5 linked regions of the Cricetulus griseus genome follow. The protein of the gene in region 1 purifies or fractionates together with the protein of each later gene. This does not show direct contact. Links are inferred from orthologs where the notes say so. Each region holds a gene or a part of one and is shown on either strand. Other genes may lie near its edges.

Region 1 (5,963 bases):
GATTCCAAGTGTAGATAAACATTCTGTACTGTCCTGTGACATTTAAGAAAAAGCTACATGTGCCTTAACCACTCGGTGCCCTTTGGTTTCAAATGCCAGCTCAGATATGAAAGTGTTTTCCATGTATGTGGTATTAATCATTCTTCCCTTTGAACTGTGGTCAGCATTTGCTTTATAACTGAACCAACTGAACAGATCTTTGTTTTTTTTTAATATTAATGTAAATAAACCAGAATCTTTAGGAATGGGACTAGGACAGAAACACTGAAAACAATTCTCTATCTCAGGGGTTCTCAACCTTCCTAATGCTGTGACCCTTTAATACAGTTCCTCATGTTGTGGTGACCCCAATCATAAAATTATTTTTCATTGCTATTTAATAATTGTAATTTTACTGTTATGAATTGTAATGTAAATATCTGTGTTTTCTGATGGCCTTAGGTAACCCTATAAAAGGGTAGTTTGACACTCCCCAGGGGTCATGACCCACAGCTCTAGGTAATTCCAATATACATCAGAATAAGCTTCTCTGCTTCAACACTTCCTATTCATCTCCTTTATCAGCTTATCTTTTTAACTTTTGTTGAATTTGTCTCTTTAGATATGTCTGGAAGTTCTTCAACTCACCATTGAGTACAAAATAGAACTGACATCACATATTATATATACTAGGTGCAAAAACTGTCCTCAAGAACTTCACAGCCTGGCCAGGAAAGATAGTATGTAAATAAAAACAACAAAGTGGTGTAGGTACTGTAGTCATGGTTTAGAGTAGGGATATAGGGATGGAAAACCTGACTTTATTTACTAGAATACAGGACTGAATCAAAAAAGGTATCAGAACTCCTTGAAGGGACTTGTCTAGACTATAGTTTTGAATTGGCATTTTATCAATTTAAATGTAGTGTGATGGATTAAGGACTAAAACTGTAATCTGGCAGTAATTTGGTACAGGCTGGGGATGTTGCTCAGCTCAGAAAGTGCATGAGAGGCCTTGAGTTCCATCCTCAGCATCACATAAATCTGGGTGTGGTTGAGAAGGCCTTCAATCTCAGCACTTTGGAGGTGGAGGCAGGAGGATCAAGAGTTCAGGATTATCCTTGACTACACAGAAAGTTTACCGTCAAGCTGAGCTACATGAGATCCTGTCACAAAAATAAATAGATAAGCAAACAAATAAAAAAATTTGGCAAAGGAAGAAATTATAATCTTTTATTCAGAATATAACCCAGTGTAAGGTTTAGTAAGCAGTGGAAAGCAGTTAGAGCAAGAATTAACATAGCCGGGTGTTGGTGGTGCACGACTTTAATCTCAGCACTTGGGAGGAAGAGGCAGAGGATCTCTGTGAGTTTGAGACCAGCCTGGTCTACAAGAGCTACTTCCAGGACAGCCCCCAAAGCCACAGAGAAACCCTGCGGGGGGGGGGGGGGGACAAAAAAAGAATTAACATATAATACTGACATAAAAGAAAAAATGACTAGTTAAGGATTAGTGAATTCTAGAACTATAAGCTTTATCAAGTCTATCTTGTCTCGAGACATTAAAAATAAACAAAATTGAGGAACTAAAACTATTCTGGCTTCCGGAACACTTAAGGTCAGGAGGAACAGTATTTCCTGAGGCCGGAAATGGCAAGTCACTCTTGCTTTCACAAGTTGGTGGCCAAGGCCATGTTTTCAAACTTGAGTAGAACAGAATTGTTAGGAGTCATTAGGAACCTTAAGGGATTTTTTTTTTTTTTTTTTTTAACTAGAAAGATTACACTGGTCAGGATGTGGCATAAAACTAGGTGGCCGTTTTCAAACTTTTTTCTTTAGTCTGAAACAGATGCCTTATCTCTCTTTGCATGAAACTAAATCAAATGAAAACTTCTAACATAAGCCAGTCTATGAAGTTCAAGGTCAAGTTTGGGAAGCAGTCAATATGAGCAGAAGAGGCTCCTATATGTCCTGACTACGAAAACCCAATAAAATACACAACATAGTTTGTCTAAAGCTCAGCAGTCAAGTGACGTGGGAATGGGCACTAGAAGCCTCTTTGCAAGTTCCATTCAAAAGAATAGCATCTCCTTGAGTGAACTTAGCTACTTTAAACACTCTATAAGAACATAAATTTAAAAAAAATTATGGCGCACAGCTAAATCTCTGGAAGAAGCCATTAAGATGTAAGCAGTAGCTAATCCTTGCAACCTGCCCAAAAGCTGACTGTTAAGAGTCAAAGCCTCAAAGCTGTCTAGGAAGTACATACCCAGCCCATTAAATGTTAACAGTTTAGGATTCTCTGTGTTGTGAGAGAGTTAATTGTTTGTCTCTAACCAAAAATAGTCACTTTAGTTATAAGAAGACAAAAATGAGGATATCAAAATATGCATTCCCTTGCCTTCTTGCCAGATATCTTCCAAAAGGCCAAGTGACCACTGCAGTGACTTACTATGGCCACTATTATTCCCAGGCTCCTAAGCATCACAGAAAAGTGGTCCTTAATTCCTGGTGATTATTATAAAACAGAGTAGGTAATTACCTTGCATGAACAACCCAGGGGTTGGAACACCCTGTCTTCTGGTTTCTACTTACCCTCAGTCACATCCTGGGGGTTAGAGGTCCGGTCACTGGAAGGATCTAGGGCAACAGTTGCCAGAGAAGTAGTGGCCCCAGACAGTTCACTCATAGGCTCACTACGGCTTGTCTCTGGCACACTTTCTCGGGAGCTAAATCTTACTCTGGAACTAGATCGAGAGCTGAGGTCCGGGCTGGTGTCGGACAAACCTGGAATGTCATCAATCTTGGTTGGTGTTACCATGAACCGAACTGAAGACATCTTGGTGGTGGGTTCTGGAGGATGCATTTTTCCCCCCTTTTCCAGAAAGAGAAAAGGAAAAGCTCACAAAAACTCTTCCTCCTACGCTAGGTACTTTTGATTGCAAAAATAGAAAACTTGAAAAAAAAAAAAACCTCAATTACCTTGATTTACATCCCACAAAGGCCCAATTAAGAATCCTTCTACTTAGAATTCAAGGCAACTGTTCTATAAAGTACACCACCAGTAACTGAAAAATAATTTTTGAAAAACAATGAGAACAAAACGATGCTAATCTTGTATAACTTGGCTCCTTCGGAATCCTAGCTATCTCCCCTGGTCCAGGGCTGAGGGCTCCATGCCATGATCTCACAGCAGCTGGTGACGCCTCTCTCTTGCTCAACCCCCAGGTCCTGGTGAGGTAGTTAGTCCTTTATCTGCGGAGTGTCCCACGGTTCTAGCTGAGGAAACAGCATGCAGGCCCACCCTTATCAGGCGACTATAGCGTGGATCAGATTGCGAAAAGGTGTGCACCGGCCACCTGTTGTGTATCAGGTGAATACCCCACAGGTCTGGCTGGGAGGAGGTGTGTGCTGAACCACCCGATGTTTTTGAGGTCGACAATCCACTTGGGTCTGGTGGGAGAGGTGCACATGCATAACGGGAAAAAAATACCCCCACACTACAGGATGGAGAGAAAGGAGAGCAACGAGAGGATGCCGGGGCAGAGTGGATTCCTGCCTCCTCGAGATCTCTTCCTGACCGAGGAGCTGGAGGCGGCGACTAGCGGATCAGGGCAGCTCCGGGTCGTGGCAGGTCGTCGCGAGTCTCTCGAGCCCACGACTCTCGCCGTGTTTGTGCCGCGTGTGACAGGACGCGTTTTCCCCCGGGCCGACGCGGGTGGCCTCTTGCCGGCTCTCCTTGGGTCTCAGCCGAGAAGACGGCCACGCAGGCTGGTCTCGGCTAGGTTTAAGGAGGAGGTCGCAGGTGCGGGATCCCGCGCCAGCTGATGCGGGTGCGCGCGCAGCTGTTGTTTACTAGCCGCTAACTGTTTCGGAGCCGCGGCGCGCAGGAGGCCCCCTCCCCGGCAGACGCCCGAGGCCGTTACGTGACCTCGCCGCCCCCCGCCCCGGGCGCGGCGGGCAGTACCCGCGCCGCCGCAGCCCTCCCCTTCCCGCCCCGCTCGTTCCTCATTCGAGGTTAACCGTCCTGAGAAGTCTGGGGAGCAGCTGGAGGGCGGCGCCGTCCCGCGGGCACCAGCAGCCCCGCCCGGAGTCTGCAGAGCCGAGACAGCGAGCGTGCGGCGCGCCTGCGCGGGCCGGCGGCTCTCACGTGGAGCACGACGGGAACTGCAGTCCGCCTCCGGGTCTGAACGTGTGTGGCGGGATGCATTTTCTCGTGTCACCTGTGCTGCGTGGACTCTGGATGCAGCTCAGGGGCAGTCAATGCCCATTTACCCCGGGACCGCAGGGGTCATCTTTAATTAGAGTCTCTCTGGAAACCTTACCTTTATGGCACCCAAACCTCCCATTACCACATCTATTTATCCTAGATGAGATGCTCAGTGTAAAATTTCAGATGTCTCTTCTGAAATGCCTGTAAATCTTCATCTTCAGTGTAGCTACTTTCCTGCCTCTTGTTCCTGTTCCCATGAAAATCCCAAGCCAGGCTTAAACTTCCATTAAAGAGAACTATATAGACATTGAGAAGGCATTGAGGTATCTGTTCTACTCCATTTCCAGTGTTTGACCTACTTTAAACTGTCAACTAGATATGTTTAGTGTTTAGTGCATCATGATGTTTAATAAATTTCAGTTCCATAATCTTTCGTTTGAAAACTTCTTATAGGTTTGATCAAAATGTGGAAACTAGCTGGAGTCTTGCCCGGATCCTTGGTTCCTCTTACTTGCAAAGAGTTAAATCAGCTTATGGTTAGAGAAGACCCTGCTGGTTCGGTTCCCAGTTCTCACATGATTTGGCTCATAACTGCATGTAACCTCAGTTCTAGGGGATCCAACTGCTGAAGACAAGGCATGGAAGCGGTGCACTTACTCACATATAAAGGAGATATATATTATATGTTTTTTGAGACAGGGTTTCTCTGTGGCTTTGTAGGCTGTCCTGGAACTAGCTCTTGTAGACCAGGCTGACCTCAAACTCATAGAGATCTCCCGAGTGCTAGGATTAAAGGCATGAGCCACCACCACCCAGCTACTTTCTTTCTAAATGTATGTTCATTGGTGTTTTGCCTGCTTATGTCTGTATGAATGTATCAGAAGCCCTGGAGCCATCCCCGGGGGATCTACTTTCTAAGGCAGGCTTGCAGTTCATTCAAATATCAGACTTTATAAAGACATGCTGGCGCCGGGCGTCAGTGTAAAATTTCAGATGTCTCTTTTTAAATGCCTGTAAATCTTCATCTTCAGTGTAGCTACTTTCCTGCCTCTTGTTCCCGTTCCCTTGAAAATCGAAAGCCAGGCTTAAACTTCCATTAATGAGGAAAAAAAAAAAGACACACTGGCGTTTCTGCACAATTTTTGCATCTACTTATATCTACCACCTAGCTCACTCTTGCCGCTCTTCTTCCTTTCTGCAAACACTAACTGATAATCAAGCTCACTAAAGGTATGTCTCAGATGTTACTATCCAGGCGATCTTTTCAGTCCTTGCTAGATTCATGAGTTTCCTTTTCTCCTCCATATCGACTACTACTATTTCCAGGTTAGTCTTTTATTTTGATCTGCACTGCTGGTGGCACAGAATGCTAATCTTTTATTTGTTTTTGTAAGGACAGAATTATATTCAATACTGAAAAAACAAAGAAGACACACCTCCTACCAGACAGATTTCACTGAGTTGGTAGTTAGAAAACGTCCAGGGACTGGGTGTGGTGGGACAGCCAGTAATACAGTGCTCAGAAGGTAGAGGCTGGTAGATCTGTGAGTTTAAGGCCAGCCTGGTTTACATAGTGCAATCCAGAGTGGCCAGTGCTACATAAAGAACCAAAACAGAAAGAGAGGGGAAGGAAAGAAAAGAAAAAACTTCCAGGGTTGGTAGAGTGCTCACCTAGCATACAAATCCTAGGTTCGATCCTCACCATAAACCAGGGTGGTAATGCACACCTGTTATCCCACAACTCAAAATATAGTGGTGGGGACTGGAGACAG
Region 2 (5,465 bases), on another chromosome or scaffold:
GCGGGGGAACACTGCTTACTTACTGGCTTGCTCCTCAGGGCTTGTTCAACCTTCTTTCTTATAGCACCTAGGACCACATGCCCAGGGGTGGCCCCGCCCACAATAGGCTGGGCTTTCCCACATCAGCTGCTAATCAAGAAACTGTCCCTGCAGACACGTCCACAGGCCATTCTAATCTGGTGGAGCCAAATGAGATTCCCTCTTCCCAGGAAACTCTTGTTTGTATTAAGTTGACAAACAAACAAAAAACCCTAACCAATCCGTAGAGGGCAAAGGGAGAGGGAGAGCAAGAGATGGAGAGGAGGGGGAGGGAAGGAAAGGGGCGCATGGGTGCTTCCTCTCAGTTTCTCCTTTTCGTTCAGTCTGGGCCCCCAGCCCATGGGTGATGCTCACATTCAGGGCGGGTCTTCCTACTCAGGTAAACTTCTCTTGGAAACGCCCTCACAGACAGCCCCAAGGTGTGTCTCCTAGGTGATTCTAAATCAAGGTGACAGAGATCTCTGTATTTACACTGACATCTCTCCTTGGTGTGTCTTCTGCATTCACTGCAGGCTTACACACGATGAAAGCTTTTCTTTCAGAGATTTTGTTTTAAATAAAGACTCAAGTGTAACTCACCACTCATGTTCCTCCTTCCTCTACTTCCAAAGTGCTGGGATTACAGACAAGGCTCGTGACTGGCTCACGGATATTTTTTCTTCTTCTTCTAAATTTGTAACTATTAACTGTTTATTATAGAAAATATAAAATATATAACAGGGAAGCAAAAATTGCCCAAGATGCAACTCTTCATTCAGATGCCAGTACACAGCATGCTCTCTTCATCTCAGCATCCAAGACAATATGAAACCATTCGTCTATTTCCTCTAGTGAAGCTGGCACCCTGCCACACACCTTGCTTTATACTGAGCCTTTTCACTGGGTGGCGGTTTCTCCAAAGCTGTATGTATTTTACAAGGTGACTCCAGGCGTAGGGTGGAGCACACTGCTGACGCTGTGCCCTGGCTGTTTGGCTCTCTGAGACTTCGTTACTACTTAGGGGTGGTGGCTCCATTTCACAATGACAGTATCTTAGTCCCAACTTATAGACACAGGATACAGGTAAGGACCAGAGAGGTGGGGTTGCCCACTAGGACAGAAGAGGCACCAGGTGGCACAGGGTGTGGGTGGCAGCCCTTGACTTGGCAGCATGAGGAGCAAAGAGCTTGTTGGGTTTTCTTTTGTTTTTGTTTTTCTAGACAGGGTTTCTCTGTGTAGTTTTTGGAGCCTGTTCTAGGACTCACTTTGTAGACCAGGCTGGCCTCAAACTCACAGAGATCCGCCTGCCTCTGCCTCCCGAGTGCTGGGACTAAAGGCGTGAGCCACCACCACCCGGCTCATTGGGTTTTCTAATAAGACATTATTGTGGATGGTGTACAGTACCCCCACCCGAGGTGGGACACACTGCTTTCTGTTCCAGGCAATGGCAAGCTCCACACACCCCCACCCCTGCAAACCCTCCCAAGAGCAACAGTGAACTCAAGTTCGAGGGAGAGGCTATGGGAGTTGGGGGGTGCTTGAGGCAGTAGGGTGCTCTACCTGGTGGGCTGTTCCTGGGGAGCCTCTCTTCCATGCCCCATTCTCTCTCACCCTTCCTGGAGCATTTTTCTCTCACTCTGCATAGAGTATTCTCTGAAAACAGAAACAAAACCTGTTCTCATCTTCGGAAAAGGATGTCAGTAGCCAGTGGAGGGACTTGCTTGGGTGTCCCCTCTGCTGTCTGTGCCACTGCCGGGGTCCCTGGGCTTTTGGCTCCTTTGTATGAGTCCTTTCCATTTTGACCTCCCTGTGCTGTTCTTTAACAGGCAACCATCGGGATTGACTTCTTGTCAAAAACCATGTACTTGGAAGACCGTACGGTGAGTTCCCGGTCTCTGACCTAGAAGGGGGCATTGTCTGATTTATTCCTCCACAGCCCCCAGTTGGGCACTCTTGGAAGTCTCTGCCAAGGCCGGGGTGGACCTGGCAGTGCCAGCGTCATGGGGTCTGGGCCTCCAACTCCCTCAACCCCATTGATGCCTCTGCCTTGACACTCTAGGTTAGACTGCAGCTCTGGGATACAGCCGGGCAAGAGAGGTTCCGAAGCCTGATCCCCAGCTACATCCGGGACTCCACAGTGGCTGTGGTGGTGTACGACATCACTAGTGAGTTGGGGGCTGTGTTGGCATGAAGGAGCTCTTGGGGTTCAATGTGACTCTGACCAGACCTGTGTGTAGGTGAATATATATATTTGTGCTCAGTGTGGGGGTAGTGTGGGAGTTACCTTGGACCACTAGTGGGTTCACTGTCCTCCAAACTCCCGTGACAGACATGGCTGAACAAGACAGGGTCCTACATGTTGGGGAGGCAGACGCTCACAAGGCTAACCCTCTGTGCCCTCCATGGCCCTGGCTGACATATGTGCCAGCTCTAGGGCTTCACAGACTCAGTGGGGCCCAGAGGTTGGGACAGGCCTTATGCAGAGGCCAGCTACCCAAGAGCATCTCGAGGAACACACCTGGGAGGGCCTCAGGCTGGCTTCATTCATAGAGGATGCTATGAGGCTCCTGAAATCACAATGGGTAGGGACATGTCTGACCCATGGCTCCCACCTGCCACCTCAGGGCTGCTTTCCCCCGTGTCTTCCTGACTGCATGCTCTGTGTATGCCCTGGCGATAGGGGAGCTAAAGGACCCGTGTCACTGGCTGTGGAGAACAGTCACCTCCCTTCCTCCAGGTGCTGGGCTTGGGTGTCACCCTGTGACTCTTCTGAGGAAGATGCTGCTGCCCTTAGATGGCTTGCTTCTGGGTTCATGTGCCTCTGGGGTGGCCTTCCTTCCATGGGTTGCAGGTTCTCTTCCCAAGCCAGCCCAGCCTTCCTCAGACTCCCTTGAGCATCCCATGGAGGGACAGCATTTCCTAGGGGCTGCCATGTCCTCTCCTCAGCGCTCTGCAGCTCAGCCAGGCCCAGCGCCTTCCTTCCACCCTCTGCTGTGGGTCTCATATCAGCTCGGACTCTTGTGTGGCCTCTAGAGTCATTGTTCTGTATAGAAATGGTGACAGCCTAGCTTTCCAGATATGGTGACTTCTCTCCCTTGGGTGGCTGAGCAGTGCTGGAGGCTCTCCAGGGTCACAGGGCAGACTTCCCTGTATAGCCCCAGCCTAGTTGGGATGTGGAGATTGGGTTAGTGTCTAGGTATAAGCTTGCCTCTGGGACCTTTCCTTCTCACTCTGTCCCCACTTCCTGCCTCCAGATCTCAACTCCTTCCAGCAGACTTCTAAGTGGATCGATGATGTCAGGACAGAGAGGGGCAGTGACGTGATCATCATGCTTGTGGGCAACAAGACGGATCTGGCTGACAAGAGGTATGGAAGTGCTCTGGGTAGCTGGACTGTGCTTCCTCACCTGTCTGTGGCCCAGGAAGTCTGAGGTGAAGAGAACAGTAGGGCTTGCCTCCACGAACAGGAACACTGACCTGCCTGTTAGACCCCACACACTGCAAGCTTTTTGTCTCAAAGCTCCATCTTCCTCAGCCCAGCAAAGGCAGGGTGTGGCAGGGACCTGTCTGCACAGATGTTCCCATTACAATCCCATTACAGTAGCCTCTGACACAGTGGCCCCCTGGGCTGGAGCTCCTGTCCCCATGAAAGCTCTGCATTAACATGGGACCTGAAACCCAGGTCCTCAGGAATGAGTCTGTGGAAGGTCAGCAGAACACAGACCTTGTCCCCAGTCATCCTGATTTATCCTGTGTCTGGGCATAGAGTGTTACCGGAAGAGGCATCTTCATAGCTTCAGTGTCTCTGCCCACTAAGGTGTCCTTTCCATGTGTGTCTACTCTCAGAACTCTGTGCTGACTTGGACAGGTAAGGCCATGTGTCATGGTTTCTGATACAGCCCGTGGGCTTCTTACAGTATCCCTGCCATTAAGACATAATCTGAGTCAGAGATGAGAGTCAACCTAGAGGGGAGGGAAATGGGCTCCTCTGCAGAGCTGGGGGCCTGGGGGTGGGGTTACTTTTAATTTTGGTGTTTGCTTTAGGAAAGGTCACTGACGATTCCTCCCAAGAAAGGCTGTGAGTGTCTGGGAGTTCTAGTTCTAATGGCTTCCGAGAAAGGCAATGGGGATGTGGCTCAGGTGTAGAGTGCTTGCCTTCCATGCATGAAGCCCTGGGATCAGTCCCCAGCACTCATAAACCAGGCTCGGTGGGATACGCCTGCAGTCCCTGTTCTAGAGAGGTGGACACAGGAGGATCAGAAGTTCAGTGTCATTCTTTGCTATCTCACAAATTCAAGGTCAGCCTCGGCTACATGTGACCCTTCCTACCCCCCCCACATGTGGGGGGGGTAGCCTCACTCCCTAGTTCAGAAGACATGGAAGAAATATGGAAAAGGGCCAGAGTCCTCTATGCTCAGGCACCACCTTCTTACTAGACAGACTACGGCTGGCATTCTGTCAGGGACCCGTGGGCAGTGAGCCTGTCTTCAGGACTGACCCAGGGGGCTGGCAGGCTCCCTCTGTCCACCCGCAGTCCTTCATCTCAGGTTGCCTCCTCATATCTGCCAGGGTTGCCTCTCTGCCACCTGATCTCCTCCTCTCCCCTTCATTTCTAGGCAGATAACCATCGAGGAAGGGGAGCAGAGGGCCAAAGAACTGAGCGTTATGTTTATCGAGACCAGCGCGAAGACCGGCTACAACGTGAAGCAGGTGAGGACACAGCTGGCGATGTCCCTGTCTTGCTCAGGTCTAGAAGCCCTCACCTGGGACCTTCCTTGCCCTGAGTTGGCTAGTGACTAGGTCAGGGCAGCTAGCCAGTGCATAAACCTATTACTCTGAGCAGTGGGGGATGGCACCGATAAAGTGCCATCAGCCAGGCAGGCTGGTCAGCCAGGGCTGATAAAGCAGGTGAGATGAGCCATGCGGATGCTGTTAGTCACTGGTCTCCACAGCTGTGTCAGGTGTGGGTCCCTGTGGCGGCGTGTGTGGACGAGGGTCCAGCATGGACTTCCACCTGGCTGAGAAAGCTGTGGTTCCTAGCATCTCACTTCGCTTCAAATGAGAGCACAAGGTATTTAGTCTGATTAATGTGTTGGGTTTATGTCTTGGATGTGGCAAGAACTCGAGGCCATGAAGGACAGCTCAGAAATGGGAAAAAGAGGTTCCCATGCAGCTGGGGATGACAGGAGGGAGAAGAGGTGGAGCCCAGGCTGGAGCAGTCATGTTTAGCTGGGATTTACAGAACCCAAGTAGTTCATGAGCAGAGCTTAGCTGTTCGGGCTCCCTAGGCTTAAGAAAATCCTGTATTGTGACTACTCACTCATCTATCGCCTGATCCTCAGTGACGGACAAAGACAGCCAGGCTCAGTCTTAGTGAGTGCAGTGAGTCTCTCACTGACAGAAACCACAGCTGTCTTCTAGTTGCTTCACCATGTGACAGGCATCCTG
Region 3 (5,465 bases), on another chromosome or scaffold:
CTATATAAATAGGGAAGGAAGAAATATTAGAGATTTTTAAACCAGTGTAATCTGAGTTCAGGAAATCCAACATTTTATTTGCGGAATGATGAAGATCAAGAGACAGTAACTGCTGAGCAAAACAAATCTGGATTGTCAGATTTAAATCACAATAAAAGCATCAAAATTATCAGAAGGATAGATAATGGAAACCATAAAAGCATAATTTGCCTACACACAAGTTTAGTTTCAGTGGATCCTAAAATACCTAAAAGTTAAAAACAGCAACATGGGGAGGAACTTCTTAATGACATATTAATTTATAGGACTGGTTAGTTTATAGCCAGTTTGGGAAAGGCCAGGAAACACACACTCCCCATAGTGAGTGGACATTCATCCTTAAACCCTTTAGAAGAGTATAAGTTTGGAGTTGTCCAATGACAATCATGAAGTTCCTGAAGGAACTGAGAACATGCCTCTCCTGGACACATCCCCAGCCTGCTAAGCTTGGTCTCTTGGGGAGGAAGATTGGGTAGGTGCCCAGATAGGCGTGTGGTTTTCGAGTATAACCCTCCATGAGAGAGCATGGCCTGCATACCGAAGCAGTAACTTACTTTGAATGGTCTGCCACTTTCAAATGGGAAAGCTGACTGTCTTTCTTCCCTTCCCCAGTTGTTATCCTGTTTGGTGTTGCACACAATGACTTTCCTGTTGTTTTCATTGAAGCGAGGGTTAAAGTGGAAGGCAATGTCATTCCCTCTCATGAAATTTAGAATAATCCTGTTTTAAACCAGAAAATTAAAGATATTAAAGTATGTATCAAGTCAAGAGCATCTCCGTTTCTAAAAAGCAAGCCTTTTTATAATATGTAGGGATTTCTGTACAGGAAGGAAATAAGCCAGAGTATGAGTTCCTACTCAAAAGAAGAGCGGGCCCATCCACATTATGGTGATCAACTCAAAACTCTAGCAGGGCAATACGTGTTGTCTGCTCATTGAGACAGGGACTCACTATGTAGCCCAGGCTGGCCTCCTACCTTGACCTCCTAAGGGCTGGGATTCCAAGTGTGTGCCACCAGCTGTTTTGTTTTTCATTTGTTTATTTTTTGGGGGGGTAGTGGTGGTGGTATTCATTGACTTTGGTGCCATCATTCCTGATCCTTCACAGATACACTTTTTTTGTTGGTGTTTTTGTTTTTCTTTCAAGACAGGGTTTCGAGCCAGGCATTGGTGGCGCACGCCTTTAATCCCAGCACTCGGGAGGCAGAGGCCGGTGGATCTCTGTGAATTCAAGGCCAGCCTGGTCTATAGAGTGAGTTCCAGGACAGGCTCCAAAGCTACACAGAGAAGAAACACTGTCTCGAGTCCCCCTATCCCCCTCCCCCACCCCCCCACCCCCTGCAAAAAAAAAAAGATAATCTTTATTCCCAAACCAATCAACAGCTTTGTTGGGTTGTTGGTATCACCCCGTGTACCTGTTTGCATTGGGCTTCACTGTGCCCATGATTGTAATCAGCATTCGAGGCATGACTCCTCCAGCCAAGGGCAGCTTATAGGGCACTGTCTGGGAACAGACAAGAACATGTGTGTATCAGTAAGGTATTGGGTTTGCTTGGGGAAAGGAAAACTACATTGCTAACGTTGTTACAATGCATGTGACTAACACAGAACCCTAGGCCACCCATCTACATTCTGAGGTCACCTTGCTCAGAGCTTAAAGTGATGAAGTTTCCTGTGTGCACAAATGTTAACTGGGAAATTAACAAATAAGAAGAAGATGTTCTGGGATCATCACTGGAATTGTTTCAACCCATTATTCATCCTTTGTCTAACATTTTAAGGTAGACTTGACCAACAGTCCCTTGTCACATGACATACAGCACTGTAATTCTGCTTCCTGAGAAAAGGTTTGTGTCACCTGGGGCTTCTGTGCTCACAGGTCACCAGCAGAGTGCTTTGCATATGAAAATCTGAGTATATGTTGAATGAACATTTTAGTTCATTTCACAAGTTTGAGCTAAGTGTTTCAGGTAGCATGGATACCCCCAGAACTCTGCCCCTGCCTCTAGTCTCCTTTATGACATTGCCTCCCAGGTTCAGCTGTCCCCCAAATTTTCGTTTCTGGCCCTGGTTTGCACTAGTCCTATATGTGCTTCCTGGAGCTGCTCTGTGGACTGGAAGCTCCTGACACAGGTATATGCTGGAGGTGTCTCCCCTGCCCCTTGCCCATCAGTTCCCTTTCCTGCATTCCCAGTTTGAGGCAAGTCTTTGCAGCTTTGAAAAGCACTCAGTGGGGTTATAGGTATGAGCCACCCCACTCAGGCTATTGTTTATTAATGATAAACTTCTCATAGTATAAAAATAATATAATAATACCATAATAAAATATAATTAGGTTTTGAGACAGAGTCTCTCTATTTAGGCCAGGTTGGCCTCAAACCTGCAGAGATCCACCTGCCTCTCTCTGCCTCCGAGTGCTGGGATTGAAGACATGTACCACTATGCCTAGCTCATTACCACAACCTATACTAACAAGTCACAGCATAAACTCAATATGAACCTTCCTTTTAACACATTAATACAGCCCTGTGGTTGGCCCTTAAGACAGGGCTCAAGCAGCATCCTTAAAGATAACCCCCTAACATCGTCTCCCCTGTCTATAAAGCCCATGAAACAACTCTTCCTTCTTACCAATGCTCCAGTGGGGGCGCCATAGGGGCCAGCAGCAGGATAGGCCCCAGGAGCACTGGGGTAGGCCCCAGGTGCTCCAGGTTGCCCTGGGAAGGCTCCAGGTGCAGATCCAGGGTAAGCTCCGGGTGCAGTTGGGCCAGGGTAAGCTCCAGGGGCAGTTGAGCCAGGGTAAGCTCCAGGGGCAGTTGGGCCTGGGTAGGCACTAGGAGGAGCCTGCCCAGGATAAGCCCCTGGAGGAGCCTGCCCAGGGTAGGCCCCAGGATAGGAAGCCCCTGGGTAGCCCCCTGCCCCAGGTTGGTATGCACCAGGCCATCCTTGAGGGTTTGGGTTTCCAGAACCAGCTAAGGCATCATTAAGCTGTAAATAAAAAACAAACAATTAGAGGATAGGACTCATTCACAAAATAAAATTCACAGTACTACAGGCATTTGTGAGCTAGGAAGCTGAGAAATAAGAGAAGGGTCACACTCTGCCCTCCCCTATGCTACTGTTTAGAGTCCCAAGGACTCAGACTTTAAGATTGTGCTTTTGCTGTTTATTTTGTTTTATTCTGGTCTCTTATCATCACAGGTCAGGGAGGACTAAATTCTTCTAATTCACACCAGGAACTGATCTTTTACAAGCCCACACTTTTTAATCAACATGAGAAACAGCTACATCTGTTGGCTGCTTCCAGCAGGGACATCACTGCTCTGCTACAGAGGCCATGTCTCTCCTTGGAATCTGTTGCTGGAAAAGCAAACCTCCAGCTAATAGGCCCGGAGCAGACAACTGAGCCAGATGGAATGTCATGTTAGGAGGGCCAAAGGGAAAGCTTAGTGGTAGAAATGAAGCCATTAACTGTATGGATATGTGGGGCTAAGAAAGCCAACATGGAATACTTACCGAAAAACCGTCTGCCATTTTCCTAAGAGAAAAAAAGCCAAAGGGAGTTGTTATTATTTGAGCCTAAAGGACTTTACAAACCTTCATGAGATTTAGCATCCCAAACAGTGGCGGACAATTCCAGTCTACAATGATTTTGCCCAAGTCAATGGTGTAGGACCGAAAAACATCTTGTGGAGGGGCAGGATACTTTCATCCTAAATTCCAAACCTACTTAAGTTGTGGAGTTAAACCTTGGTACTGGGATCTCATGTTCTGAATTCTGAGAGTAAAGCCTTGAGAGGCAAGGAGCAGGGTGAGAATTTCTGCCCCTTCTCTCGATGAAATACGGTACAAGGTGTGGCTTCTCTTGGCTGTCTTTACCCTTCAAAGGATTCCCAAGCAGCACAGGTCACCCCTCTTCTCTTCCCAGACCTTCTGGACACTGGAGGGAAGCTGTGTGTCAGCTCCTATTGAGATCTCCAAGACAGCTTGACATGGCTGCCGCCTGGTTATTTATCCTGCATTGGCACACATTGACGCCGGCTCTGAGCCCCCACTTTCCATGCAGTCCCAGGGCCCACAGACCAGCAGGGGACATGAGATGCATTCATACAAGGGTGTGATCAATGCTGCGGGACTCTGTTGGGACATTCAAATCTGAGAGTTTACTTGTGAGTTGGGAAGGGAGATGGCGTTGGAACAAAGATTTGATGGACAGGTGACATCTGGGAGCCTTTGGTTCATTGGATTTGGAGGTGTTTTCTTTTATGTTTTAGAAAGTCTGTCTTTCTATATAGCCCATCCTGACCTTGAACTTAGGGTCCTCCTGCCTCAGTCTTTCAAGTGCCGGCTGTGCTGTGAGCCACTGTGCCTCACTTATTTTAAAGGTACTTGTTATCCCAAATAAAATGTTCAGCAGTGTAGCAGCCCAACAAAGGGCAGCCAGGAAGCCATGGGAACAGACGCATGTGGGGCACAGATGCTGTCAGACAGGTTTGTCTTGCACAAAGCTGCCTCAGGGTTGGTTTGCAGACATACCCTGCTTCCTCCTGCTCCTGCTCCTGCTCCTGCTCCTGCCCCAGGGCCATGCCCATAAAAGCACCACCTACCCCTGTTGCAACAGCTCCCTCAGAGTGAAGACAGGAGGGCAGCTTTGGTTTGGGAACTACTTTCTTTCTTTCTTTCTTTCTTTCTTTCTTTCTTTCCTTCCCTTCCTTCCTTCCTTCCTTCCTTCCTTCCTTCCTTCCTTCCAGTGCTGGGGATTAAATTTCTTGCCTTGGCATATTTGGCAAACAATCTAGTGCCAAGCAACACAAGAGAGCTGCTTTGGACCAGGGTCAGTTCTAGCTGAGCTCTGAATCACTGCAGTCATTTTGTGACCACCAGAATGACCTGGACCTGGAAATAATCAGTAATTTCTGACTTCATTTGTCCACCTGTGGTATTTTACTCAATTATCCCAAGAACTCACATTATTAGGTGAATGTGGTGGCTCCTGCCTGTAATCCCAGCATTCTCTAGCATGAGGACTACCATGAGTTTGAGGCCGGCTTGGACTACATACCACGTTCCAGTGGCTCATTCTGGCTTTGAACACTATGGCAATCCTCCTCCCTCAGCCTCTCAGAAGGCATGAGCCACAGTGCCTGGCTTCATAATTTTCACAAGAAAATAAAACCTGGCTTGGGCGTGGTGGCACATAGCATTCAGAAGACAGAGGCAGATAGATCTTTTGTGAGTTTGAGGCCAGGCCTGGTCTATGTAGCAATTCCCTGCCAGCCAAGGCTACATAGTCCTGTGTCCATTTTGGAGCCTGTTAGAGGACAGTTTTCAAGTTCAAAATGGGCAGGGAGCTTAGCACTTTTGATTACTCTTTCCCCGCCCCTTCGGCAGTGTCTGGCTTCAAGCCCTTAGAGGCCAGTAGCACGC
Region 4 (6,195 bases), about 41 Mb from region 1:
CCCCCACCCCCACCCCACCCCACCCCCGTTAGTGGTAAAACCAACCCCCTCTGACAGATCTGACATGATTTCTAGGTCATGCCTGAACTTCTGAACCAGATTACTCCTAATAGCATTATAGTTTCTCCATGGCTTTTATAACAGAACAGCAATGCAACAAAGACAAAACTTTATTTTTAGAGTTGGAAAACCCTCTGTTTGTTTTTCTACAACAGAAGAACTTAAATAACTGAACCTGGTCTGTTCAGATTTTAGAAAACTTATTTAGCCTCTCCTAATCCCGAGGCCTTGTCCTGCTCCCAGCAGGAAACAGAAGAAAGGCCCTTGAGCTCTGTGCCACGCTGGAAGTTGAAGCACCCTGCCTGCCTCCCTTCCTCCCTCCCTCCCGGGCTTTAGGCTCTGGCACAGCTGAGCCTCCTGCTGGTTGTGGTTCACACTGCTGGAGTCACCTCCTAGGCCACCTGCTGTATGGCAGGGACAGGCACTGACTTCCAAATGGGTTTGGTATTTGTACTGCTAACCTCTTGAATATAATGTTTAAGGCAAAGTGCTTAACCACAAACTCACTCTGAATCATTCAACCAGAATGAGAGGCCAAATGGGAATGGGTTTGTATTTCTCCATAAACATTTAAGTCCTTGAAAAACCCTATTCCAGCAATTTTTCAATAACAGGGGTTTCCAAATAGCCATCTCTTAGATGGGAAAACATGAGATCCATATAAAGCATACAAAAGCCCTCTCACATCACAAATGTGTAAAACCAACATGGAATAAGCCGGTTCATCTCTTGAATTCCTCAGGTAAATAAATTCCCTTTTTTCTTTCGTCTTCACTAAAATTGAGCAACCATAATTAACATCATTAACACAAGCAGAGAAGGCCTGGCAAGTGATCCAACTTAAACTAAAATGATTTTATTCCTTAGTTCACAAAAGAGGCCAACTCAAAATACTGTTTCCAAAGTCAAAGCTGACATTCTAACCGTAATGATTAACCACATAGGAATATAAATTAGTTATATGTAAATTGTTCTGGTCCTAAGGAAACCTGCATGGGAGAAGAGACCAACTGACTCTGAGGTGTAAATAGGGGAATCCACTGTTTCTTAGGGAAAGCAGCTACACAAACAATCAAGCACTTTACAAACCCTTACTCAGACTTCAAAACCAGTAGGCAATCCTATCTGACTCTTCTCTGAAGAGCATCTGCCTCCCTTCACCCCAGCCTCACTCAGCACACCCTAAAGGACCATTTATCCTTGTCTCCTAACTCATGAAGTCCTTAAGGACAGGGACCATTGTTTATTTATCCTTGTATTGCTACTAGACACCAAAATGCAGGGAATTTGGAAGGCCCTAAGACCTCAACTAGCAATTAAAAATTATGAGATTAGACTATGGAGTATATAAAAAAGAGGGGCAGAAAGGCCCACCAAACTATGACCAAAGCTTCTGGGAAGACTCTCTAGGCAAAGGAGACCCCTTGGAGATGGAAGCCTTACCTCAGTAGTAATGTCCCTGATTCACTCATCAGCATCAATATATGTTATGTGTATTTGTGTGTGTGTCCATGTGTGTATGTATGGTAGGCATTCAAAGGGTAGAGCCTGCCAAGGTGGCAGGTGAACACCAGAGCCTTTGTAGGACAGCAGAGACCCAGAGTAATCGCTGGGAGAATGCACAAACAGGAGAGGCAGCAAAGAAGTTCAGAGTGAAAAGACTTACATGGCAGGCAAAAACAGTTTTCACTAAGGACTCTGGGCTTTGAAAGCTCCTGGGGTTATTAAACCCTGACAGTGTCATGATGATTCATCCCTAGAGTCTTCAGCTAAAAATTATGAAATATACTAAAAGAACCTTGTCTACAAATATCTATAAGGACTACTTGCTTCTTTTACATACACCAACGTACACCATCACTACACACTCGCTGGTGGGCACACCTCTGCCTGTGAAACATAGATGTATACATACATACATACGTGTATGCATTTCTGGCGGTCTCATTCACACGGGAGATAAAAGTGGCTCCTTTGAGTGCCCAGTGAAATTATACTAATTGTAATTTTTCAAGTAGGAAAAATCAAGAAACCTTTTAAAGTGAAGGAAAAAAACTAGGATAACTTGAATCCTTTTTTTTTCTCTCTCCTTAAATATCAAGACTATGGGGCAGCAACAACCCCACTACGGAGTTCATATGGTTACATGATGGGGGGGCCCACTTTGCCTGGCAGCAGGGCTCACTGACAAAACTTTTAACTTTGAATCATCTTGTAGGTAAGGTTCTCAGCTGGAGGACAACACAATCCCCTAGCCCTTCACGTGTTTGGCTCAAAGAAATAAACGCCGGCTTCTTCCCTTTCGACTTTGCCAGGTATTTAAAAATGTAAGATAAGATGATATTAGTGAGCTGCCTAGGAGACACCGAAAGGCTGGGCGCGGATCGCGGACAGCCTCGAGTTTCATCTCAGCAGATACGCCCGGCACAGGGCAGGAAGCCAGCACGCACGCCCGCTGTCCGGCCCCGGGGCTAGCAGCAGGCGGCGCGCCTGCACGGAGGGAGGCAGGTACCCGGGCACACCGCGCGCAGAGCCGGGTCTCAGGACCGGCATGCGGCGGCGGCTGTCAGAAGGCCAGCATCCTCCCTGGCCTGGGCAGGAGCCTGGGCCTCCGCCGCTACTACGTGGACGGGCTACCCACCGATAGGTCACGGCAGGAGGCACAGGAGCCGCTGCGCCCGCAGGGTCTCCCAGGACGCGTTGCACCCGGCGCGGCGCGGGGGCGAGGAAGCCCAGGGCGGCGCCCCCGCATCCCCACCCCGCCCCAGCAGCCCATCCGCGTGGTCACCCGCCACGGGCTGCGGCCCCCGAGCTTATCGGGGCGGGGGGAGGGAGGGAGGAGGATGCGGCGTTACCGGGTCCCAGCTCCACCGCCCCGGCGATCCCGGAGATAAAAGTTTGCAGCATGCAGCTCGTCTGCAGTGCGAGTCACATCCGCCGCGCCACCTCCTGCAGCAGCCGCGCTCAGAGAAGGAAGGGATAAATTAAAAATTAAAAAATACAATAAAATAACTGTTGAAGCCGGTAGGCCCCGAAGCCGGCCGCTCTGCCTCCGGGCGTGCAGGAAGGCAGGAAAACCGCATCCCGCACCCACTCCCGCCCAGTCTCGGAGCCCGGCCTGGACCGGCCCCGCAGCACCCTCCTCACTGACCGATAACCTCCTGGAGCTCGTACGCGTCTCTGCAGATGGGCCAGCCGACCGCCTGAGCTGCCGGGGCCGAGGCTGGGGCCGCCGCTGGAGCCGGGGCCGGAGCTGCGGGCGCCGCCGGAGCCGGGGCCGGTGCTGATGTCGCGGCCGCCGGGGCCGCCACCGCGGCCGCTGCTGTCACCGGGGCCGCCTGCTGGGGAAGCTGGACGTGCACGGGCGAGCCGCTCGGCTCCGCCATGATGCTGCGGGAGGACAGTGAGGGGACGCGCCGGCGGGCGGACGGACGACCTTCCACTCGAAACTTCCCTAGCCTCGTTGCCCACACCTCTCGGCCGGCGCACGCCCTCCCCGTCCGCCGCAGCCGCCGCCGCCGGAGCCTGCCACGAGGGGAGGGAGCCGGAGGCCGAGCCGGGCGGAGGGAGGAGGCTGCGCGGCGGAGGCGGGACGGGAGGAGGCGGCGGCCGCGCGCCCGCCGCGCGCCCGAACCTCGCGCGCACGGTGCTCTCGGCGCCGTGGGGAACCGCCGCCCCCTCCCGCCCTGCTCGCTGCCGGGGAAGTTTCCAGGAGCGAAGAGGCGTGCGGCTTCGGGGGTGTTTTCGGGGCTCACCCCACTCCCTTCGTGCCCTCCCGGCACCTCCGCCCTAGACAATCGCGCTCTGCAGAAGAAGCCCCCCTGGGACTCCGAGGGCGGGGTCGTTGAACGGCTGCCAGGTTCTCGGCCGGCTAACTCTCCCCGGCTCAGGAACCTGGAGTTCTTTTACAAGTTAGCGAGTGAGACACCTACACGGCGTCGGTTTTGTAGGACGCCGGTTAAAATATAACCCGACTTGTAACTTTCCGGTGCTTTACCTCGCAGTATCCCTTTCGCACCTTGCGGAATGGAATCGCGGGGCTGATCTTAAATGAAACCCGACTCCCCGAGTCCCTGGCTTGTTCTTTTGTTCAAATCCCACTTAGATGTCAGGGGCTGTGAATTTACAAGAAGTGGAGAAGGGCTAGGAGTATAACCTAGCGCTGGCCTAGTGTGCTAAGGTTCCTGGTTCTATACCCCACCTCACCCCACCCCACCCCCCAGCACCTTTTGTGTACTTAATACCATGCTCAGTGGTATAGTGCCTGCCTAATAAACTCCTAGGTTCAATACCAAGTACAAATAAATACATGAACAGTCACATTAACCCTTTAAGACCCTGAGACCAGCTAGCAAGTTTCTTTGACAGAACATAAGGATACTTGCTGGGTCATAAATGAACTGCAATGGAAAGTTTTAAATAAATGCTGCTTTTTCAACACTCCCCAAATTACCTCATCTTTAAAATAGCTGTGGCAAAACCAGAGATCTTCTAATTGCAGGTGTCACATTTGAATGCTCAACTCTGTTCCCTCACAGAGTGACCACGATGAAATGATTCTTGTCTCTGGCTGGAATGCTGCTGTGACTCAGTAGCCTTATTGGTTCTGTGGCTGGCTTTAGGCTGATGGGGTCTCAGGGAGCAGCAAAGTTTGAGAAAGAACAAAGCACGTGTAATACTCCCTCAAACTCTTAAAGGAATAAAGATCTTAAACTTTTTATAAGATAATTCAGAAGAAACGTCGACTTCTGCTAGGAGAAGAACCAGTTGTCTAGTGAAAACAGTGATGCAAACTGATGGTAAGTTTAGAACACTATGGAAGAGTTATGATATAGCAACTCGCACGTTTAACTAAGAATGTGTGCTTCCTTTTATGCAGATATGCTATTTTTAAAAAGCAAGTATATTCATTTTAATTGCTGTCAAGACTACACTCCTTTATAAACAAAATCTAAGCCTCTGATGAACACGGGGTGGGGGGCGGCTCTTCATCACAAGCCCTGCCTGCCCTGTTTACCAATGCATGAGCTGCTCCTATCCAAAGAACTTTTAAGGACTGCTTTTAAAGGAAAGCAAGAAAGATTAATTGAGCATGCCCCCTACTTCTCATAGAAAGTCATATCTTGACTTTTGATCATGGGAGCCTTTAGACATGGTAAGAAAACATGATTCAGGGGTCCCAGTCAAACACAGATCACTTTGCTACCCACAAAGAACAACTGTCCCCTAGTCAGACTAGATACCTGCCCCCAGCCCATTGCTTTCAAAATGGCAACCAGGGAAGCCATTTGTAAGAATTATCACGAGCTCAAGGTTATTAGTGATTTTAAACTGAAGACTGGGTTTCAACATAGGAATGAAAGCTCCAATATTATGGCTGGGAAAGGGACGTTTACCACGGGAAAAAAAATTAATATGACACAAAACATGGCTGAGGTTCAAAAACCCTGGTTTGAATGTAAAGAAAAAACAATCCCGTCATTTGGGAGGCAGGAGCAGATAGATCTCTGTGAGTTCGAGGCCAGCCTGGTCTACAGAGGGAGTTCCAGGACAGTCAGAACTGTTAGACAGAAAAGCTCTGTCACAACAACAGATAAATAAATAAACAAGCAAACACATAAATGAGAAAAATAAATAAATAAAAGAGAAAACAATGCACCTTTATCTTCCCTCTCTGCTTTCAAATCGCTGAATAAATGATTCCTATATGCATTGAAAAAGATTTATGATTTCATGGTATCCTTGACCAGAAACACAATTTAAATTTAGTGATCAATTTCCAGGCAAAATCAAATGCCTCTTAAATACCTATATTCTTAAGTGTTAAGTACAAGTACTAATTTCTTTGGTTATTTATGGAAACATTAACTTAAAGATTCAATCTCATGCTTTATATAGTTTTAAAAGGCCTTGTTCTCTTCTTCCTATTTAAGCCTGATGACAAAGGCCTCTGACACTAGATGTCCTTTAAACTTAGTTACCTGTGGAAGGAGGGGGTTCATGGAACACTCTTGCATGTTGTCATTTTGGTAACCATTAGAGAAGCCACTAGAGGAGACAGGTCTGTGACAGGAACAGTTGTTCTTTGTGGGGAACTAAGTGATCTGTGTCTGATTCAAATCTGTGATTGGTCTC
Region 5 (5,465 bases), on another chromosome or scaffold:
CTGGAAGCAGAGTTCAGTGGGAAAGCCTGGTGATAGCTCAAGTGAGGTGAGAGCTGCTGAGAGGAACACAGGCAGAAGGGCCTTCCCCCCAATAGCCAGGAGTTAGGTATCTCCATCCAAGCTAGGCACAGACAGCAGCTCAAGTGTATACCCAAACCATTCGTATCTCTTTTGGTAGCTTACTTCTTTTACATTAAGAAATTAGCCCTTTGCTTGCTATATACTATAAAAATATACTCTTTCTACTTTCTACTTTCTCAGGGTTTGAAAGATTCCCATTTATTTATTATTTATTTCCCTGTGTGTGAGCATATGCATATGTATGTGAATGTGCTCTTAGCCACAGCACATGGGAGGTCAGAGGACAACTTGCAGAAGCTGGCTCTTTCTTCCATGTGGGCTCCAGGGATAGAACTCTGGCCATCCATTAGGTCCACTGGCAGGCACCCTAACCCGGTGAGCAATCTCACCAGCCTCATGTGTTTTTAAATACATGACTACTTTTATTTAGCTATCTACCTATTTATTTATTTTCTATGTAGCCAGGGTTATGACACCCTGACACACCTGCTCACATTTTTCCAGTGCTGAGCTACAGGTTCCTAACATGATGCCTGACCTTTAACACATGTCTGCTGTTGTTCCTTTTGCCATATGCAAATCATATGTTTTTCAAGCAGCTGAATTTATTAACATTTTATGATTTTTCTAATTTATGTCTTCCTACTCCATTTAGAAAATATAACTCTCCACACTTAATTCTAGTATTTTAATTTAAGAAGTTACAGGGACTTAGGAAGAAAGCCCTGAGGAGCCTGAGCGTGGTGAGGAGGAGAACGGCTAAGACATCACCTCTGTGGAAAGTGGACGTCTTGACATCCTAACTCATTCATGCCTTCCCACGTGAACCTCAAGTGCAAACCAGACTAAACCTAATTCCTCTAATGCACAGACTTGGGGACCTGACATCAGAACCAGGCTCTGAATACACACAGCCTTTCTTTCAGCATCTCCTAGCACCAATCAACAAATCTCACCAGACATGAAGCTTATCTACAGCATCTGGACTTGGAGGGCAACTTCCTCTTCCTGGGTCTACCAATCTGAAGCAGAGTGGGTTTGCATGGAAGCCAATTGCCGTTTCTGACAGGACAGACACATCACATGATTCCTTTAAAGCAGGCTGCTGCTACTGCCCTCTGTAAAGCAGTTTGCCTGAGAGGAGAGGCATCCCCACCAGTCAGTATCTCTCTAAATCAGCAGGAGTTGATCTGTTGGCTTTTCTTAAGAACAAGACCCCAGTGTTCTGGACAAGTGGCCACACCAATGTTTACAAACAAGGGACTGGAGAAAATGGGAATGACTTTTCACATAAAGACAAAGAAAAAAACAGTGAGACAATAGCAAGCATTGACATAGACACATATGAAGCTGCCAGGTTCTCAATGAAGTAGTGACATAATCTACACACCACACCAACGGCACAGTCTACACACCACACCAACGGCACAGTCTACACACCACACCAACGGCACAGTCTACACACCACACCAACGGCACAGTCTACACACCACACCAACGGCACAGTCTACACACCACACCAACGGCACAGTCTACACACCACACCAACGGCACAGTCTACACACCACACCAACGGCACAGTCTACACACCACACCAACGGCACAGTCTACACACCACACCAACGGCACAGTCTACACACCACACCAACGACACAATCTACACACCATATCAATAGCATATCCACAATCTAAGAAGCACAAAGAACTGTGAGGAATACAATCATGAGGAAAAAGAAATCCATATTAGAATACAGTAAAACCAAATAGTTGAAAACTGGTAACGTGGGAAAATACTTTAAAACTGAAAATAAATGGCACACTAGGCAGGGCTCATTGGCCCACCATTATAAATTGAAAGCCTCAAGGAAAAGGGTGCCTTCTCAGAGAAAGCTGCCCGGCAGTGCTTAGCTGTTAGGGAAAATATCCTTCAAAAACTATGTTGATATAAACACATTTTCAGACATATAACAGCTGGGAGAACTCACTGGAAGCAGAGAAGAAAGAACAAAGTACATATTGCCTGTAAGAAACCCACTTTAAGGTCAGAAAGATGGCTCAGTGGGTAAAGGTGGTTGCTGCCAAACACGATGGCCTGAATTCAAACCCTAAGATCTGCATGATGGAAGGAGAGAAGTGAATACCTCGGGATGTCCTGACTTTCACACAGGCATTGTGGGACTGGTACACACATACACACAAGCACACAAAATAAAGTAATAAGAAATTTCTAAAATATTTGCCAAAGTTAAAATGATATTTCAGCAAGGAAGTGATTCAATGGTAGTAAAAAGACCAGATGCTAAGTGAGAGTAGGGAGATGTGAGTTAAAACAGTAGGATTTCACTGCAAACCTTTTAGAATGGCCAAAAGGAAAAGGGAAACGGAGACAAAATGCTCTAAATGAAAAGCAGCTGAAAACCTTGCATGGAGGTGGGGTGCAGAAGAGTACGGGCCTCAGGAAGGTGGCGCATCAATCCACACACACGTTTCCTGAGCAATCCAGCAAATCCGTTCCTAGGCGTTCACCCTCCGTAGGGGAAATTCATGTCCATCCAAAATCATCTGTAAATGTCTACCACACATTTACTTGTGATTACACTAAACTGGAAAATATGGCAGTTCTCCATTGATTTGTGAATGGGTGAACCAATGACGGCAGTCCCAGCACAGTGCAACTGCTACAGACAAAGGCACCCACACAGGGCGGCTCGGGAGGCAGATGGAGGAGCCACATTCTATGAGTCCATTTTACACAGTGCTTTGCCAAGCTGCAGAAACGGAAACCTCATTGGGTGCAGAACACGAGGTCCTCCTGGGAAGATGGAAATGCTGCTGACATCTGTGTGTCTGTCAGAGCCCACTGAACTATGCACTGCAAATGACCTTAGCAGCACAAAATTTTTACTTTAATGAATCTGAAAAAACATAAGTAGAACCCAACAAAAGACATAAGAAGATAATAACTGTGGAGCAGGTGAGTGAGTTGTAAGTCAACATTAGACAAGCAGTCACTATAATTCACTAAGAAAATGGGGGGAGGACAGGCATTTCAACAAGTGTGTGAAATCATTTTATACTCTCATAGAAATCAAAGAACATTTTTCTTTTTTTTTCTTTTTTTTTTTTTTAACTCGTAGGATTTGTATTCACATCTTGGTTATGTCTCCTTCCAGCTGGGATAGCAGGTGTCAGCATGCTATTTCTAGACCCAGTTATAAAATATCATGGCAATTTCAGGAGTGCTGTCTCCCTTTCTTAGATCACTACTTCTGAGGTGTGATCTAAGATGCTATGAACACACCTAAAGGGAGGCCAGATAGGGAATGGTAGAAACCTCCTGGGGTCAGCCACTTGAGCTGGTTAGGAAGTGGCAGCATTCCCATGAAGTCGGAGTCCCTCCTCCAGGCCACCTCTACACATCCCTGCCTCAACCCACTGAGGTGATGACGTGTCATCTTTGCCTGTAAGTTTGGGGACATTTGTTTTACAGCACAACCTAACAGTGGTTAAATACAAAAAGAAATACAATGTAGCAAATTAAGGGTTATGCAGAAAGCAGGAAAAAAAAAACTATGGCTCGTAGGAATAAAAGTACATGGTCTCTATGTAGAAATCACAGAACATATCTGAAGGACAAAGACTAGCTTGGTAGAAAGAGAGATACACTGGCATCCACACCACCCAACCTCAACCTGTAGGGACTCATCAACTGAATGCATTTCAGTTAAGGAAAACCTTCAGTCCCCCCCAGTGGAAACAACACAAATCCATGGCTAGTAAAGATAACTAATGCTTCAGTATGATGACATCATGAGTCCCACAAAGGCTTTATAAGATGCTGACAGGCAACCTAAAGCCAAGTCATTATTAAACAAATGATCAAACAAACAAAAACAACCAACCAACCAACCAAACAAACAAAAACCCAATCTGCACCTATAAAGAACACCACACACATATGAGGAAGAACAAGTCAGGAATCAGAAGCAAAGACTTGATGTTTCAGTCATGGATCTTCCTGTAGAACTGATACATATAGATGAACACATGATGAAAAAAGGGCAACAAAGCAAACATATTAAAGAAAATTTTAAATTAAAAAGAGAAACGCAGCATCCATTTCTGAAAAAACATTCCATACTAAATCATCAAAGCAAACAGTATGCTGTTAAAAGAGTTTCATTGGCTGTAAATGTCACTGACCCATCTTGGGCCAGTTCAGGCTAGTAGCTCAACTCTTGGCTTACCAGTCCTCTGGCTTGGCTGCGGTGGGGTCAGGGATTTTGGCTCTGTCATCCCATTCATCTGGCTTCTTATCGCTGGGATCATCAATTTCTCTGGGTGGATTGATAGGCGGGACCACATCCTCTAGCAAACTCCCTTGGTTCACAACTTTCTGATCAATGGATATTTCAAATGTATCATCTGGATTCATCACTAAAAAACAATTTTTAATACTTTATAGTCAGTAGTCAGACAGACATTGCAAAGATAATCTTCTAAACACTAAAATGACCTGAACTTTATGTATACAATTTTCTCCTAACTAGGAAAACCAGTGTATTGAATCAAAACTTGCTGAAATCACTAGCTACTATACTTTCTAAAATAAGACAAACTCTGCTTTAAACTCATTTTTAAATAATAAAAATTTTCATTATTTCCACAGATAAATCTACTCAGTAACTAGCTAACCCTGGTGGGGACTCCTGATCACACAGTGTCCCTCTTTACAGTCACAGAATATAACCCAATCTGCCTTATACTAAAACAAAACCCTCAAACTTAAAGGGTTGCAAGTATATTACAAAGAACTCAAGCTGTTTTAGAACCATTTGAGAGTTCCTGACCCAGTATATATTACCCCTAAAAATGTATTTCCTACAAACATACATTTTTCTACATAAACCCTATCAACAAAGTTGGGTTTATGTGACTTCCATTTCTCTTCTGAACTCCCCTCGCCCCCATTGGGTGCTTTATTTTCTCCTTGTGTTATTATTTGGCACAGCCTATCTCCCCAAAGATAAACTTCTTAAAGGCAGAGACATTTGTTCTCTCCTGAAAGCACAAGCCCTCAGCAACTCCATGGTTGACAAGCACTTGGAAGGAAGGAAGGAAGGAAGGAAGGAAGGAAGGAAGGAAGGAAGGAAGGAAGGAAGGAAAGAATGAGTGGTGTACCAAGGGTATAGAGGTGAGTCTTCCTGTCTGTAAAGAACTCTTTCAGATCAACATCTGGAGGTTTGGCATGCTTTTCTTCAAAAACTCCAGTTTTGGGATGTTTATGTCTGAAGATGAAATGAAGTTTATAATCTTCTCCACACTTGTCTGGTCCAAACATGACAGTATAGGATGTTTTATCATAAAAGTTTTCCTTCAAAGAG

The links.
Region 2: the proteins of Slc12a6 (region 1) and Rab6b purify together in Homo sapiens (affinity purification with mass spectrometry; 4 studies listed by BioGRID and IntAct, with this or other methods). This does not show direct contact. The link is inferred for Cricetulus griseus from reciprocal best matches to the Homo sapiens genes SLC12A6 and RAB6B.
Region 3: the proteins of Slc12a6 (region 1) and Lgals3 purify together in Homo sapiens (affinity purification with mass spectrometry; 3 studies listed by BioGRID and IntAct, counting the BioPlex papers as one, with this or other methods). This does not show direct contact. The link is inferred for Cricetulus griseus from reciprocal best matches to the Homo sapiens genes SLC12A6 and LGALS3.
Region 4: the proteins of Slc12a6 (region 1) and Stk39 purify together in Homo sapiens (affinity purification with mass spectrometry; 3 studies listed by BioGRID and IntAct, with this or other methods). This does not show direct contact. The link is inferred for Cricetulus griseus from reciprocal best matches to the Homo sapiens genes SLC12A6 and STK39.
Region 5: the proteins of Slc12a6 (region 1) and Clgn purify together in Homo sapiens (affinity purification with mass spectrometry; 3 studies listed by BioGRID and IntAct, with this or other methods). This does not show direct contact. The link is inferred for Cricetulus griseus from reciprocal best matches to the Homo sapiens genes SLC12A6 and CLGN.

Annotation. Positions count from the first base shown.
Region 1 is NC_048599.1:66,076,127-66,082,089, forward strand, and holds the start of Slc12a6 (solute carrier family 12 member 6), read right to left. Parts: upstream 3,826-5,963; 5' UTR 2,845-3,825; coding exon 2,574-2,844; intron 1-2,573.
Region 2 is NC_048597.1:211,401,395-211,406,859, forward strand, and holds part of Rab6b (ras-related protein Rab-6B), read left to right. Parts: intron 1-1,844; coding exon 1,845-1,898; intron 1,899-2,077; coding exon 2,078-2,183; intron 2,184-3,272; coding exon 3,273-3,384; intron 3,385-4,633; coding exon 4,634-4,727; intron 4,728-5,465. UniProt on the Homo sapiens protein: The small GTPases Rab are key regulators of intracellular membrane trafficking, from the formation of transport vesicles to their fusion with membranes. Rabs cycle between active GTP-bound and inactive GDP-bound states.
Region 3 is NW_023276807.1:203,422,300-203,427,764, reverse strand, and holds part of Lgals3 (galectin-3), read right to left. Parts: intron 3,577-5,465; 5' UTR 3,573-3,576; coding exon 3,555-3,572; intron 3,027-3,554; coding exon 2,670-3,026; intron 1,543-2,669; coding exon 1,454-1,542; intron 760-1,453; coding exon 594-759; intron 1-593. UniProt on the Homo sapiens protein: Galactose-specific lectin which binds IgE. May mediate with the alpha-3, beta-1 integrin the stimulation by CSPG4 of endothelial cells migration.
Region 4 is NC_048599.1:106,732,697-106,738,891, reverse strand, and holds the start of Stk39 (STE20/SPS1-related proline-alanine-rich protein kinase), read right to left. Parts: upstream 3,640-6,195; 5' UTR 3,447-3,639; coding exon 3,212-3,446; intron 1-3,211. UniProt on the Homo sapiens protein: Effector serine/threonine-protein kinase component of the WNK-SPAK/OSR1 kinase cascade, which is involved in various processes, such as ion transport, response to hypertonic stress and blood pressure.
Region 5 is NC_048596.1:159,051,340-159,056,804, reverse strand, and holds part of Clgn (calmegin), read right to left. Parts: intron 5,456-5,465; coding exon 5,263-5,455; intron 4,519-5,262; coding exon 4,329-4,518; intron 1-4,328. UniProt on the Homo sapiens protein: Functions during spermatogenesis as a chaperone for a range of client proteins that are important for sperm adhesion onto the egg zona pellucida and for subsequent penetration of the zona pellucida.